Oryctolagus cuniculus: one gene and its partners. The protein of the gene in region 2 interacts with the protein of the main gene of each other region in a pairwise test. Links are inferred from orthologs where the notes say so. Each region holds a gene or a part of one and is shown on either strand. Other genes may lie near its edges.

Region 1 (4,833 bases), on a different chromosome or scaffold from region 2:
ACCCCGCCCCTCCAGGGGGCTGCCCAGCACAGGGACACCCCAAGTTCCCAGCTTCCTGGGGTGCGCTGGGGAACAGGGAGATTCGGGGCGCAAGGCAGTGCCCTGGGGCCGTGTGCGAAGTTACCAAAGCCACAGGGCTCCAAGGGAAGGGCCTCGGCCCGGGCCAGGGCTGAGACGGACAGCAAAGGACCCTGCAAGGGGCTGGCCCAGGGGCCCTGCAGGACAGGCGCTGGGCTCGGGACGTGCGGCGCACCTGAGACGCACACCAGGGAGTCCGGGCAGAAGGGGGCAGAGTGAGACCTGGGAGAGTCCCAGGGTGGCCGCTGTCCCTCTCTGTCTGGTTCTGCCTCCCCATGTCCTGGCTCAGCCTCTTCCACTTGTGGGCCCCTTGAACGTTGCCTGGCGCGTGGCTAAGATACCTCTCAGGGCGCCCCACACGCCGGCTCTGAGCTCCTGGCTCCTGGGTTCCAGTTCCGATTCCAGCTTCGTGCTGTGTGCACCCCGGGAGGCAGCAGGTGACAGCCGGGCTCCTGCCACCTACACAGGAGAAGTGGGGTGAGCTCCTGGCTCCCCTCCCTGCCCTGCCCAGCCCTGCCCTGGTTACTGCAGGCATGTGGAGAGTGAACCTGCAGACAGAGGTCTGTCTACCGTTCAAATAAAATAATAAAACAACAAAGTCCTCTCTTCGCCAGCAGGCCTACCTGAGGCTAAAGGTCTTCAGGCTAAAGTGGAAAATGTGGTGAATCAGTAACTCCACAGGCAAACTGGGCAGACAGTAAGTGTGGAGGGGGCTGAGGGGAGCCTGGGTGGCCACCCCGCCCAGCGAGACCGTGGTCACACGCAGGGTCCCAGGGAAAACACTGGGAACCAAAGACACGCGAGAACGCACACACGGTTTCAGACAGGGTGCCGCCCTGGGGGAGCGCGCGGCCTTGGGTCTGGTCCCAAGGGTCTTAAGCAGTCAGCAGCTCCAAGGCCGACGCTGGCCACTGCCCCTTCCCCTCCCCCCGCGGAGTCAGCATGACTCAGCACATCCCGGCCTGGTCACCCGCCTAGGCCGAGGGCCCCAGATACTGCTTGGGCCCAGCACCTGGGGGTCGCCTTGGCCAGGAGCTGTAGCGCCCAGGTCCTGACCCTGCACCCCGCGCCTGGGGCCTCGGCTCCCCAGGCCTGCCTCCAGGGGCCACTTAAGTGGGGTCCAGGTCCTGCCTTGGCTCCTCCTCCCCCGAGGTCAGGGCGCTGGTTTGAGCCCCTGACTCCCAGACCCACATGCATCTGGTGCGTTTAAAAAAAATGCACGTTCCGGGGAGACAGGCACCCCGCCCCTGTGTCCCCGACCTCTGTCCCTCGGCCGCCCAAGGCGTCTCCTGGACACGCAGAAGCAGCAGGTGGCAGGCCAGACACGGGGCCTCTGTAGAGAGACTGCTCCGGGGCCACGGGAGACCCCAAGTCTCTGGGTTACCGCCATAACAGCCCCCCCAGGAAACGCAACCCCAGGGAGACCCCAGCACCCGGGGGGTTTCACTCTCCCCATCTCACTTCCCAGGAACGCTGGGCGCCGACGGACTCCAAGGCATCCGAGGAGCCCAGGCTTCTGTGCGCCTTAAGGGGCCGGGCCCCTCTTACAATCGTCCCTTCCCCCCGCGCCCCAATAGACTTCCAGGACCCCTCCCCGCCACTTCGACCCCAGGCTCCACACGCCCCAGCATCAATGACCACCTGGAGCGCCTAAAGGCCTCCCGGGGAGGACTTAAATGTGGATGCCCATGGTGTCCCCACCTCCTCCTAACCCCCAGGCCTCAGGGCAGGAGCCCCCTCCTCCCAGAGATCCGCAGGGCTCGCTTACAGCCACCTCCACAGCCCTCCACAGCCCTCCTGCTCGGGGAGACCCCTCAGCTCACAGCACAAACCCCTGGCAGCCTGCAGGTCCTCTCCGCGCTCTGAGGCACGACCCCCCCCCCCCGGGTTCCAGAAAGTTCCATGCTCTCAGAAACGGCCACAGACCCCTGCTTTCCTGAGGTAGCCCCAGGACCACAGGGTCATCACTCCCCAGGGGCTCCCCGGGCACCCACCAACCTCTCACCTCCCGGAGAGACCCTCAGAAGCCCTCGACTTCCCCGAACCAGCCACAGAACCCCCACCCCCATTCTCCATTTCACAACAGGCTCGCGCAACAGGCGCGTGACTTCCCCACCTCAGGGTGGGGACGGAGACCCCCTTTCTGCGCCTGATTGGTCAGAAGCCGCCCGGAGGCCCTGCCTCCCCCAAACGCCAATTGGCCGAGCCCTCGCCCTCCGAGCCCCGCCCCCGAGGGCCAGCAGAGTATAAAAGCCGCCGCCCAAGCAGCCGCCCGAAGCTACGCGTCGGGAGACCCGCGGACCTGTGTCTTGCTTCAACAGTGTTTGAACGGAACAGGCCCGGGGACTCTCTCACAGGCTTCGACCGCCCTCCGACCTCCTCTCCAGTCAGAAGCTCCGGGACCACCTCTCGGCCACCTCCTGCTCCTGGGACCAGCCCACCGCGGTTCTGTGGTCATCTCACCGCCGCCAACCATGACCTCCCAGATCCGTCAGAATTACTCCCCCGAGGTGGAGGCTGCCGTCAACCACCTGGTCAATCTGCATCTGCGGGCCTCCTACACCTACCTCTCTCTGGTGAGGGTCCGCGGGACGCCCCCGACCCGAGTTGCACACAACTGCGCGTGCGCGGGCCCGCTTTGTCCCGCGGCGGCGCCGGGGGCGGAGCCCGCACGCCTCCCGCCAACGGTTTTCCTTTCGCGTCTTCCCGCAGGGCTTCTATTTCGACCGCGACGATGTGGCTCTGGAGGGCGTGAGCCACTTCTTCCGCGAGTTGGCGGAGGAGAAGCGCGAGGCCGCCGAGCGGCTCCTGAAGATGCAAAACCAGCGCGGAGGCCGCGCCCTCTTCCAGGACGTGCAGGTACCTGGTGTGCGGCCCGCGGACTACATCTCCCGGCGGGCTGCGCGCGCCGAGACCGGAGCCCGAGCGCCGGCTGGGTGTCGCGCGGCCTTCTGGGAGATTGAGTTCAGTCGTGAGCGAGTCGTTAAGGTTGGAAAAGGAGGTGAACCCTGAGGGCCCCGCGGTCCGGGCCGCTGCGTGGTCTCCTGAGGCGACTCTTGTAGGAGGGTGGGGGTAGTAAGTACAAGCCCGCCCACCTCTTTTGAGCGTCCCCGGCCCCCGACGGCTGCTGGGAAAGTGGAGTTTGGGCCCAGTGCTGAGCCCCTCGTCCTTTGTGCAGAAGCCGTCCCAGGATGAGTGGGGCAAGACCCTCAACGCCATGGAAGCCGCCTTGGCCCTGGAGAAGAACCTGAACCAGGCGCTCCTGGACCTTCATGCCTTGGGATCCGCCCACACGGACCCTCACGTAAGTGCCCCCGCCACCGCGCCTTTGATTGGGCTGATTTCCCTTGTGAGCCTTCCTCCTCCGTGCGCCGTCTGATCTCCCCTTCTCTCCGTCAGCTCTGTGACTTCCTGGAGAACCACTTCCTGGACGAGGAGGTGAAGCTCCTGAAGAAGATGGGCGACCACCTGACCAACATCCGCCGCCTGAGCGGCCCCCAGGCCTCGCTGGGCGAGTATCTCTTCGAGAGGCTCACGCTCAAGCACGACTAGGGGCGCCCGGAGCCAGCGGCGCCGCGCGTCTGCCCGCGCTCTCCTGCCAGCCGCCAGGCAGCTTGTTCACAGCCCTGAACCCTCTCCCAAACCTGGGACCAAACGGAAATAAAGTTTCTTGCTGCAGCATGGGGTTGTGGTGTGCATTACGGTGGAGGCGGCGGAACGGACCTTCAGGGCTCCACGGAGTGGGCTGGCAGGGGAGAGGTCCGCCAGGCCGGCTGGCCGTTAACTGCCCTGCCCAGCGGGTCGGGCCAGGTTCAGGGAGGGCTGGCAGCAAGGCCCTGTTCGGCCTCAGCAGCCTGGGCGGTGATGGGGTCAGGCAGCGGGCCAAGCTCTGAAAGGCAGGTAAACAATGAGTGACCCTTCACCACGGGCAGCCCAGAGCGGCCGGCCAAGGCTGCTGCTCCTTGCGCCCGCGCCGGGGTAACTCCGGTGCAGGGCACGTACCGAGAAGACAGGTCAGGAGGAGCAGGGGCGCGTGATGCTGTTGGGGTTCAGCACAGGAACCAGACGTGCGACCCGGGCCCAGAGTCTCCAAAGGGGAACTGAAGCAGCTTACGCGGGTTTCTAGAAGCGTCTGCTGGGTCAGCTCTGACCCCTGTTCCCTTTGCGGGAGCAGAGGAAGTGAACCGGGAGCTGGAGGCCTGCTCAGCGCCACGCCCCTCCCGGCAGGGCTCCCAGGGAGAAGGGGGCTTCTGTGTGTCTCACACATGCGCACACGCACGCGGGCCAAGGGGAAGGATGACGACACATCCCAACACAGCCAGCTCTCTGAGTCCCCGAGTAGCAGCTGCCTCTGAGCTGCACACCCGGCCTAGTGAAGATGAGAAATCAAAGGGAGAAACAGAGCCACGCAGGGGACAGCCAACCCGGGAGACGGCGCCCCCACCTGCGGCAGGACAGCCGGGCTGGGTCGTGGTAGGGGGAACGGCTGCCCGCCAGCGCTCGCTCCCAGTCACAGCCGCTCCTGCCAAAGTTTGCAAATCAAGCACCGGTTAGGCAGAAGGGCCTTCGGTGAAGTCCCCGGGGAGGCAGGGTGAGATGAGGGAGCAGGACAAGGCCTAAGGCCGTGCGGGTGGAGGCCCCAGCCTGAATCGGACCACACCTGGGATTCTTAAATAGATGTATTTTCTCATCTCTGGATGCACGCCAATCCCACTCCTGCCCCCTGCAAACCAAGTAGAGCAGCAGACACGGCAC
Region 2 (4,903 bases):
ATCCACGGGTTAACTCCCCAGATGGCCGCAACGGCTGGAGCTGTGCCAATCCGAAGTCAGGAGCCAGGAGCTTCCTCCAGGTCTCCCATGTGGGTACAGGGCCCCAAGGACTTGGGTCATCTTGTACTACTTTCCCAGGCCATAGCAGAGAGCTGGATCGGAAGAGGAGCAGCCGGGACTAGAACCGGCGCCCACATGGGATGCCTATGCTGCAGGCCAAGGCTTTAACCCACTGTACCACAGTGCCGGCCCCGAAGAACAAAATCTTTATCAACAAAATGGATGCAACTGGAAAGCATTATACTTCGTGAAATAAGCCAGTCCCAGACAGACAGTGTTTCCCCAATCTGTTACAATAGATTACAAAAAATGTATATGACCAAAATTGACATTTTGAGATTTGATTATTTATAGCCCTTGTTTCTACTGTTGAGGAAAAGTGATTTTTTTCTTCTTACTATTAAATTCTTTAAGTACTGGAGGGTTAAGTTTATGATTATAAAATAAAGTATGTCATTGTAAAAATTTTAAAAAAGGAAGAAGGGTGGGAAGTATGACTGTGCTCCTAAATGTGTATATATGAAATACATGAAATTTGTTCACCTTATATAAATTATTTTTAAAAAGGAGTGGTAGACAAAAATGTTTTGTGAAGTCCCTGGAGTGAACTTTGGTGAAGGACATGAGCAGTGATTTTCATGACTTTCTGAATGAATATTTCCCCAGCTGTTTTTCAGTACAGGAATATAGGAAATGAGTAAAAGCTTTGGATCACGTTCATACCTTTTAGTTTTTTCTCCTCCTAAAATCCCTAAATATGAGGGCACTTCAAAATTTTTGTGGGAAAATGGAATTAAAAGTTTTTAAGTCCCTACAGATTGAATAATACACTTGCATGAACATTTTGAATTCCCTTAAGTCTGTCTTAAGGTCAAAATGTTAATTAAGACCTGCCTATGTCATAAAGTTTGGCTGAGTGTACATGGTTAACAGAAAAGATAATTTTCCCCATATACAGTACCACAATATTACCTGAAATAATGAAAATGTGACTTTTTTCTAATATATTCAACTCAGTTTTGTTACTATCTATAAAACTGCTTTCTATAGAATAAAACTTGGTAAGGAAAACTAGAAAAATAACAAATATCTTAGTGTTTTAGACATGCTAGCCTAACATAACAAGAGGTATGGTGTATATTTCTTTACCAAGAATAATTTTTTTTATTAAAGGCTTAGTAAAATTAATTTTCATTATGTGTTTTCATCAGGACTCTCAAATTGCAGACATACTGTCAACATCTGGAACTGTAGTTACCATCACAATCATGCCTGCTTTTATCTTTGAACATATTATTAAACGGTAAGTACACAAGTCTTCAAATACTACATATAGTTGTATGAGTTATGTAAGCATTGCACTTTTCTTTAATTCCCAAAGCTTGGTTTATTGCTAAGGAGTGATACATTTATTTAAAAATTTGAAGAATAAATTATTTACATCCAAGGATTGGCTGGTAAGGATGACTCTTCACAGCTTCCAAGTATGGAATGAAATTCATCCTATTACTTGCCAATTTTATTTTTTTTTTAAATTTATTTGAGAGCTAAAGTTAGAGAGATAGAAAGGTCTTCCATCCACTGGCTCACTCCCTAAATGCCACAATGGCTAAGGCTGAACCGATCCAAAGCCAGGAACCAGGAGCCACTTCCAGGTCTCTCACATGGCTGCAGAGGCCCAATAAGTGCTGCTATCCCAGGCCATAGCAGAGAGATGGACCAGAAGAGGAGCTGCCAGGATACGAACTGGTGCCCATTTGGGATGCCAGTGCTGTAGGCAGAGGCTTAGTCTACTATGTCACAGTGGCAGCCCCTCTAGCTAAATTTTTACATTGCCTAGTAGAAAGAGGGTGTCCAAGCAGAAGTGGACAGAGGTGGGCCTGCTGTCTGCTTTGAACAAATGACTGCACCCTGGAAGTCTAGTGGTGGTGGTTCAGGATGGAGAATTCTTGCCTGTGGGATGTTACAAGTACCGGTTTCTATTCCCTCCCACGCCTCCGAGGACAGGTGAGAGTTGGGTAGTGCAGCCGTCCCTAGGAACTGATTGGAAAAATGTGTGAGAACAGAAAAGGGCTAAGAGTTACTTCTCTAGAGCTTTTCAGATCCTAATTTCTGTCAGTGTTTTTGCCATGCCAGCTTGGAATCCTTTCAGAATCATTAACATGAATGTGGAAGTGAAATTTAAAACACTCATAAATATAACCCTTCTTAGCTACTCTTGGAGCATTTTCTTGAGTTCTTCTCTGCAACCACTGGAAACCGGTCCCTCCTTCCCCATGTGCCTCTGTAGTTAACCACAGCCATGTCATTTTTCTTTCATTAATCACCAACCTAACTATACGAGGACTTTTTACCTTACCTAGTAACTTTTCTAGCCGGGATAAAGAAGGCCTGTTACTACTGACTAGAAGACCAGAGACCCTTATCTCTGAACTCACTTGAATGGCCTTCCCCTTCTCCCTCAGTCTTACTGGATACCCAAAGGGGCTGATTAGATGGCGTTTTCCTGGATTAGCACATTTTCAAAACAAACAGAACCTGAGTGTATGATGAAAATGATTCTCTTGTAGGATGGCGCCAAGCATCATGAAAAGCCTGATGGACCACACCATCCCTGAAGTTTAACAGTTAGCACACAATGGAAACAGCTGAGCGTCTCCAGTTTCCTTTCTCAACTACTCCTGTATTATGCACACGAAGCTTTCCCGGAGCCAGGGAGCATATGCTGCATGAGGACCGTCCCGTCTCAGTTATGGCTGGGAATCTACTGGTTCATCTGGTCTCCTCAGACTTCACGGTAGTTGTAGCCTTAGCCTGGTTTTACAGCTGTGAAACTTTCACAAGATTGACTGACTTTCCTAGAATAGTTTCTCTACTGGAAACCTGATGCTTTTCTAAGCCATTGTGTTGAGGGAGATTGATGCCAGCTTAGCTTTGTATGAGAACCAGTTACCTTTCTTCTAGGTAATGAGTAGTGCTCTTCATGTCATTTTAGTTCTATGGTATATCTGCATTAACATGTACGTGATAGTACATTTAGAGTGATTGCCTTTGGTAGGTTTTTTCTCCCTCTGTATGTATGTAAACACCAATTACGTAATGCTGGTTTCATTCCATGTAAGCATTATACAGTTTATGTAGGTCGCAAGAGATTATGATGATTGTCATTAAATTTTAACTACCTTCACTAATATGCTTCAACTGTCGCCTTAACTATGTTAAGCTCTAGAACAAAAGCCAAAATATAATTATTGCTGCCTTCCTAAAACTCAAAATGTAGTTCTGTATTAAACTGAAATGTGCACTAGCCCAAAAGAGGTTAATAGCATAGCTGCTTGGTTGTATTTGACACTTTCTAGTCATCGCGTAACAAACATCTTTCTTCTCCAAGTTGCCAGTACTGCTTCCTGAGAAACAAAGCGCTCTATATTTAATGTAAAATTTCTTATACTAAACAGGATGAACTTTTGATTCCTCTTTTCATTTGTAGATTAAGTAGAATAATACTTAATTTTGGCATCTGAATGTTAACATTATGTAACCTACCTACTTTGGGATAATAAAATGTTTTCCTGACTCTTCCCTGTAAACAAAGTGACGGTGACACTTTATTTTTTCTGTTTTGGTTTATGCCTATCCTAATTAAATATGTATAAAGGGAAATTTTAGTCTGTTGTTGCATCATTTGGAAGCCACTGACAGAGCTTGCACACAGCCGTACTTGATCTTGAAGACAGGGAAACAGTCATCTCCCAAAGCAGAGACCAGGCCTGAGACTGAAGTGCCTCCAGCTGGGCGCTGCTTCACACGTGTGCATCGCAGCAGGAACTCAAGGAGCCTCTTGATTTCTCTAGTTAGTGTTTTAAGACACTTAAAACTGAGTCTGAGAAATTCTTACTACCATGGTCTGTAGTGTTTCTCCCCCATCCCAACTGCCTGTAAGGTACTATAGTAATTATGTGACAAAAATATGGGTGTATGTATTAAAAATTGAATATAAAAGAACAGTGTTGTTGCTGTACTATGGACCTTGTTTTGAGATTTAGAAAACCAATGTGAAATGCTTTGATTGCTTATCTTGCTATCTAGACTTGAGTTCTTAGTTTTAAAAGTAGTGGAACTGTGTTCCTATGACTGAATACAGTTTTCTTGAAGGATCAATACTTGTTTTCTTAAAAGCTACTAATTAAGAAAATGAAAACTGCTTTCATTACAGAAAAATATTTTTAATGTAGAAAAGATGAGCATTTAATAGTTTAATGAAATACAAACCGTTCCCATACACAGTAACCTTACTGTTATGAGAACTTCTGATCCTTCCCAGGTTCTCAGAATCTGGGTAGAGCATTATACAAAGTAGCCGCTCCGTGAAAACACACATACCTAAAAACCTGGTGGCAGCAGTTGTGGTAGATTAGGAAGACAAAACAGGCTCTCAGAAGCAGCAGCGAATACTGCACATTTCCTTGGAAAGCTCAGTTGTTCACGGCTACCTGGTGCTTGCCCAGCTTAGTAGCTCTGAGCTACTCTGCCATGCAATCCTGTCTCCTAACCATCACAGTGGTATGACCCTCTGCCTTACAAACGAGATGCTTCCCCTAAATACTGCCATCTCATCTGCCTTAGAGGATGGCAGCTAGTGGCTTTCAGTGAGGTCATTGTGATTTACAAAGTTTAAAACCACACAAATTTCCGTGTGGTAAAACTTCTAGTTTCTATCATTGCACATTCACCAGTTCATTTAAAAGTTTGGTTTAAAAATATTTTTAAAGTTCAACTTGAATATGCAAGACAGGAAAAGGCACTTAATACTGCAATTTCCAGAACATAATTTGTCTGTCTT
Region 3 (5,668 bases), on a different chromosome or scaffold from region 2:
CGCCTGCAGCGCCGGCATCCCATATGGGCTCCGGTTCAAGTCCTGGCTGTTTCTCTTCTGATCCAGCTCTCTGCTATGGCCTGGGGAAGCAGTCAAAGATGGCCCAAGTGCTTGGGCCCCTGCACCCACGTGGGAGACCTAGAGGAAGCTCCTGGTTCCTGACTTCAGATTGGCCCAGCTTGGGCCGTTGTGGCTAATTAGGGAGTGAACCAGTGGATGGAAGACCTCTATCTCTCTGCCTCTGCCTCTCTGTAAATCTGCCTTTAAAAGAAAGAAAGAAAGAAAGAAAGAAAGAAAGAAAGAAAGAAAGAAAGAAAGAAAGAAAGAAAGAAAGAAAGAAAGAAAGAAAGAAAGAAAGAAAGAAAGAAAGAAAGAAAGAGAGGGAAGGAGGGAGGGAAGGGAAGAAGGAAGGGAAGGAGGGAGGGAGCAAGGGAGGGAGGGAGGAAGGGAGGAAGGGAGGAAGAGGTAATCAGAGACTAACTAGTTAATTACCTAAGGGAGTGAGGTGGATCCCTCGGGGGTGGGTTAATTGTGGCGAGCACAGGTTATTACAGGTGAGCTGACACCTGTCTCTCTCTTGTGCTCCTACCTCCCCACTTCTACCCTCCCACCACCACCCCACCATATGATGCAGCACGAGGCGACCCTGAGAACTGTGGGTAAATAATCCTCGTAATCATAGCCCCAAGTATTCAATCATAGCAACAAGAAAGGGGCTACAGCGGTGCCCCTGCGAGCTCTGGCCCCCCCTGCACTCCAGTCTTTGGTGCTTTGCCTCCATTACACCCCAGTCCCGCACCGCCCTGGGAGACCTGCCTTCCTCCAGGCCGCCTGGTGTCCTTCCTGTGGAGCTCCGGCCGTCCCACGCTTCTTCTTTCCTGATGGACGCTGCTAGGGGGTCTCGGGGGAGGCTGGCCAGCTCCCAAATGGGTCACACCCCAAATAGGTCTCTGATTCAGCCACTCAAGAGTACCAATTCCTGAATCAACTCCTTTTCCTGCTCTGCAAATGGCTATTTTGCAAGTAAGGCTTCCAAAAGAAGTCAAGTTAGGATCGGAACACAAATCAATATAACCACAGCAAAATGGAGGGAATGAAAGGTCAATGAGGCAGAAAAACGATTCCATGAGAAAAATTTTGTAAAACTATATAACCCTGGGTAGGGGGGAATGAAAGACACAATTACCCACATCAGGAATGAGAGACGTAGAATCACCATCAATATGAAAAGGATAATAAAGGCATATTATGAATAACTTTGTGTAACAAAACCCACAACTTGGACGAGATCCACAAATTTCTTGAAAAACAGTAATCTCACTTAAGGCACAGAAATTCTGAACAGGATTAAAACAGGCTCCAAATTATCAGTGCTGTCTTACCGACAGGGGAACTGGGGGCCCCAGAGTCTCCGGCAGTGCCGGGCGGCTCCACTTGGGAAAAGCCAAGCCATGATGAGGTCGCCTTTCTGCCAGACCTCACACTCACTGAGCAAGCACACTGAAAACGGTGGATGAAGTTCTAACTGGGTGACCACCTGACCACACCTGACCACATTCATGTCAGCTGGATCTTGTTGGTGGCTCCCACATGGCTGTGGATCCGTAAAGATCGCTCAGCACCAATGGGTAGCCTCCCTGGACAAGCCTAAACGCAGACCCTTTCGGCACCCGCAGGAGCTATGTTGGGATTAAGTAAATGATTCCCATAACGGGTTTGGCACACGGTCAACATTCTCTGCCACATGGGGACAGGCTGAGACCCACAGAGCCACCAAAAGCCACTCCCGGGACATCGCGTTGCTCTCCTCTCTGCTGAGTTGCCCTTCGACAAGCAAAGAGCGGTTGAGTGATTCCATTGCCAACACTGGCACCTCGCGGTGGACAGCGGGCGCAGGTCCAAGATGACTCAGCCTTTGTTACTCCCTCTTCGGGGTCCTCCCAGACTTTTCCTGCAGTCCGCCCCGCAGTGCATTGCGGCCCCTGCTGACCCATCCCCGTCCGGTTTTGCCGGGCGCGAACCTCGCTTCTCAGGCACTCGCCGCACTCGGAGCCGGGATCCACTAGGGCGCAGCGCTGGGAGGGGGCGGCCCCGGGAGCCGGGGCGTTACGAAAGCTTAGGGAGCGGACAGCCCCTCCTCGGAGGGGAGGGACCCAGGCCAGGGGCCTTGCTCTCCAGAAGTTGCCCGGCTGGATCCCAGAACTGAGTTCCGCGCGGCTCTCCGCGCAGTACGCGCCATCGGGGATCGGCGGCCGGGTCCGCTCTCTTGCACAGGTGTCCCGAGCGCCCAGCCATGTCGTCCTGCAGCCGCGTGGCGCTGGTGACCGGCGCCAACAAGGGCGTCGGCTTCGCCATCACGCGCGACCTGTGCCGGCTCTTCTCGGGGGACGTGGTGCTCACGGCGCGGGACGAGGCGCGGGGCCGGGCCGCCGTGCAGCAGCTGCAGGCCGAGGGCCTGAGCCCGCGCTTCCACCAGCTGGACATCACGGACCTGCAGAGCATCCGCGCCCTGCGCGACTTCCTGCGCCGGGAGTACGGGGGCCTCAACGTGCTGGTCAACAACGCGGCCATCGCCTTCCAGAGTAGGTGAGGGGCTGGGAGGACGAGGGTCCCTGGGACGCCTCGAGAGTGCGGGGCAGAGAACAGCAGGCGCCCCCAACGGCCCGTTAGAGAGATCGGGGAGGGAGGCCCCTCGGGATGCGCTCAGCTCCCGCCTCTCCCGGCGGGTTTTCGCTTTCCCGTGGTTCGCAGAGCGCGGGGCGAGCCCTGGCGCGGGACACCGCGCGCCCCGCCCGCGGGCCTGTGTGGGCCTGTGCGCCGCCCTGGGCCCTCCCGGAACTGTCAGTCGCTGTTGTTTGCAAGAGAAGCGGCCTCCTGGGAGGGGCCCACGCCCTGCTCAGCTCGTGGAGGTTTTCTGTCCGTTGCGAGAATCTTCTCCGCGAGGGGGTGGCCCAGCCCCGCCTGGAGCTTTCGCTTTCGCTGGAACAAGGGCGCATTCATGGCAGGCGGGAGGCATCTGCCGCGCGCGGGCAACGAGCGCGCTAGTGCACACCAGTGCCTTTCAAACCCCGCTCAACCGCGAGATTCGCTGGGCTCCGGCAGAAGGGAAGAGAGCCTCGGGTCCCTTCTCCAGGGCGGCTGCCGTTGGGTCGCAAACATGCTTATTTCAGGGGCGAAGAAGAATCAAGGAGCTTACAGGTTGTAAGCAGTACTCGGTTAAGTAAGTTCTTGAACTCAGCCCTGTGCTGGCGGTACAAGAAATCAACGGGACCACTTCGCTTCCAGCGTGGGGAGGCCTCGGTCCGCCGCCCTGGGCACTCACCAGCGCAGCGCGGCGCGGGGCTCCCAGCGCAGCACCTGTAACTCTGCGTGCAGGCTTCCAGGGGCTTGGCGGGGCGGGGCACAGGGCGGAGCTGACACACACCCCCCCCCAAACAACCTCAGCTAGGGGATAATTACCCTCCAGGAGGGACCTGGGTGAACTGGGATCTGTCGCCCCCCAAAATATGGGCTGTGGGCCAGCAGCACCTGCGAGCCTGGACATTGGTTAGCAGTGCAGAATCTCCGGCGCCCAACGGGCTGACAAAATTTGCGTTTTCACAGAATCCCCAGGTACACCAGGACTTGGAAACGTTCGTGGGGAAATGGAAAGAAAAGCTTGTTCTGGTGCAAAACACTGAAATTCTTGCAGTTTTCATGATAGGCATTTTCCACAAAGTTTCAGAAGACCCTCCTCTTTTGCGTGCATTTCACAATGTTTTCCCACTGCGATAAACATTTTTCATTCCATCTTCCATGAACTTTAGAAGTCATTTAAAGTCCAACAGTGGTCTCCCCCCAATGCTCGCAACAGCTGGAGCTGAGCTGGGCCAAAGTTAGAGCTGGGGGCTCAGTCCAGGTCTCCCACGTGGGTGGCAGAAGCTCAGTGTCTTGAGCCATCACCTGGTTCCAGGGTCCACGTGAGCAGGAACTGATTCGGGATGCAAGCATCATCCCAGTGTCTTAACTGCTGAGCCCCTGGACTTGCTGAAGCGCTCTCCTACCTTCTATGCGCCATCAAGTTTGAGCAGTGGTCAAAGCCAGGAGTTCTCTAAGTGTGGCTGAAGACCAGCTGCTGTTGCATCAACTGGGAACGCAGAGCGTCACCAAGCCCTGCAGGTGACTGATACACACCCAGATCTGAGGACCATCAACTTGGTGATGTAAAAGTTGCTTCGCTGCTACCTGTGTCCCCTTGAATTGCTATCCTATAGGATCCACTGTGTCATATGACTTTCAGGAAAATTGTATGACGGTCTCGTTGCTTCTTTCTCCTTTTGAAAGCTGATGATCCGACACCTTTTGATATCCAAGCGGAGCTGACAGTGAAGACAAACTTCTTTGCCACGAGAAACGTCTGCACCGAGTTGCTGCCGATCATGAAACCTCATGGTAAGCCCCGTGAGCAGGGAGTCAGGAAGGAGTCAGCCTCAGACTCCCTGGACAGGGCTGCCTGCAGGAGTCACCCAGGGTGCCTGTTCTCTGTAGCGGGAGAGTAGACAGCGTCCTTCTTCTCTTACAGTGTCTGACTCTTCACTTGAGCATCTTAGCTTCAGGGTGCAAAGGCATGTGGGCAGTATCTCAAAGCTCTTAGAATCTACCATGAACTCCGCCCTAGAATGACAAGATGTTTCAAGTTCACAAAGACCCTTGCCTCTGATCACACCTGGTCCACTGGGGGATAGTATCACTTCTTTAAAAAAAAATTGTTTATTTGAAAGGCAGAGTGACAGAAAGAGAGAGAAATCAATCTTCTCTCTGCAGGTTCACCTCTCAAATGGCCAACATAGCCTGGGTGAGCAAGACCAAAACCAGGAGCCTGGAACTTCATCCAGGTCTCCCACATGGGTGGCAGGAACCCAAGCACTTGCGTCATCTTCCACTGCTTCCCGGGTGCATTAGCGGGAAGCTGGATCAAAAGCAGAGAAGCACAGCTCAAACCCATGCTCCAATATGGGATGCTGCATTGCATTGCAAACAGCGGCTTAACTCACCGCACCACAATGCCAGTCCCAGGATCGTATCTCTCCGAGCATTAAGATACTCCCTGGGGTTGGCATTGTGTCATGATGGTTAAAGCCACCAACTACAATGCCAGCATCCCATGCAGGTGACAGTTCATGTCTCGGCTGCTCTGTTTCCAATCCAGCTCCCTGCTGGTAGCCTGGGAAAAGCAATAGAAGATGGCCCAAGTGTTTGGGTCCCTGCCACCCACATGGGAGACCTGGAGTAAGTTCCTGGCTCCTGGCTTCAACCTGGTGCCCAGCCATCTGGGGAGTGAACAAGCAGATGGAAGATCTCTCTCTCTCTCTCTCTCTAAACTCTGGCTTTAAATAAATAAATAATCTTAAAAAAAAATAAAAAAAAGACATTCCCTGTCTTCCTTCTTGGGCTAAACTTCATTAAACTGATTCAGAAAATGCAAAAGAATTTGTCTTTATTAGGAAATATCTTGTCCATACTGATAATTTTCTTTTTTTTAAATACTAGACATGCTATTGTATTTAGGTATAAGGGATTTCATTTTTTAAAAAATGTTAGCTCCCACATATAAGGGAGAACTTGCAATATTTGTCTTTCTGTGTCTAGCATACTTCACTCAACATGGGACCCTCTGCTTACAGGCACT

Evidence for each region.
Region 1: the proteins of SDCBP (region 2) and FTL interact in binary tests that used the Homo sapiens proteins (3 or more experiments, as listed by UniProt). The two-hybrid records come from large-scale screens. The link is inferred for Oryctolagus cuniculus from reciprocal best matches to the Homo sapiens genes SDCBP and FTL.
Region 3: the proteins of SDCBP (region 2) and carbonyl reductase [NADPH] 3 interact in binary tests that used the Homo sapiens proteins (3 or more experiments, as listed by UniProt). The two-hybrid records come from large-scale screens. The link is inferred for Oryctolagus cuniculus from reciprocal best matches to the Homo sapiens genes SDCBP and CBR3.

Annotation. Positions count from the first base shown.
Region 1 is NC_091449.1:8,287,330-8,292,162, reverse strand, and holds FTL (ferritin light chain), read left to right. Parts: upstream 1-2,451; 5' UTR 2,452-2,552; coding exon 2,553-2,654; intron 2,655-2,790; coding exon 2,791-2,937; intron 2,938-3,256; coding exon 3,257-3,382; intron 3,383-3,477; coding exon 3,478-3,630; 3' UTR 3,631-3,758; downstream 3,759-4,833. Other genes in the region: apoptosis regulator BAX, read left to right, coding at 1-559.
Region 2 is NC_091437.1:83,784,233-83,789,135, forward strand, and holds the end of SDCBP (syntenin-1), read left to right. Parts: intron 1-1,271; coding exon 1,272-1,363; intron 1,364-2,630; coding exon 2,631-2,685; 3' UTR 2,686-3,723; downstream 3,724-4,903. Other genes in the region: NSMAF (protein FAN), read right to left, coding at 4,866-4,903. UniProt on the Homo sapiens protein: Multifunctional adapter protein involved in diverse array of functions including trafficking of transmembrane proteins, neuro and immunomodulation, exosome biogenesis, and tumorigenesis.
Region 3 is NC_091435.1:8,710,209-8,715,876, reverse strand, and holds the start of carbonyl reductase [NADPH] 3, read left to right. Parts: upstream 1-2,293; coding exon 2,294-2,582; intron 2,583-2,972; exon of another isoform or gene 2,973-4,323; coding exon 4,324-4,431; exon of another isoform or gene 4,432-4,653; intron 4,654-5,668. UniProt on the Homo sapiens protein: Catalyzes the NADPH-dependent reduction of carbonyl compounds to their corresponding alcohols. Has low NADPH-dependent oxidoreductase activity.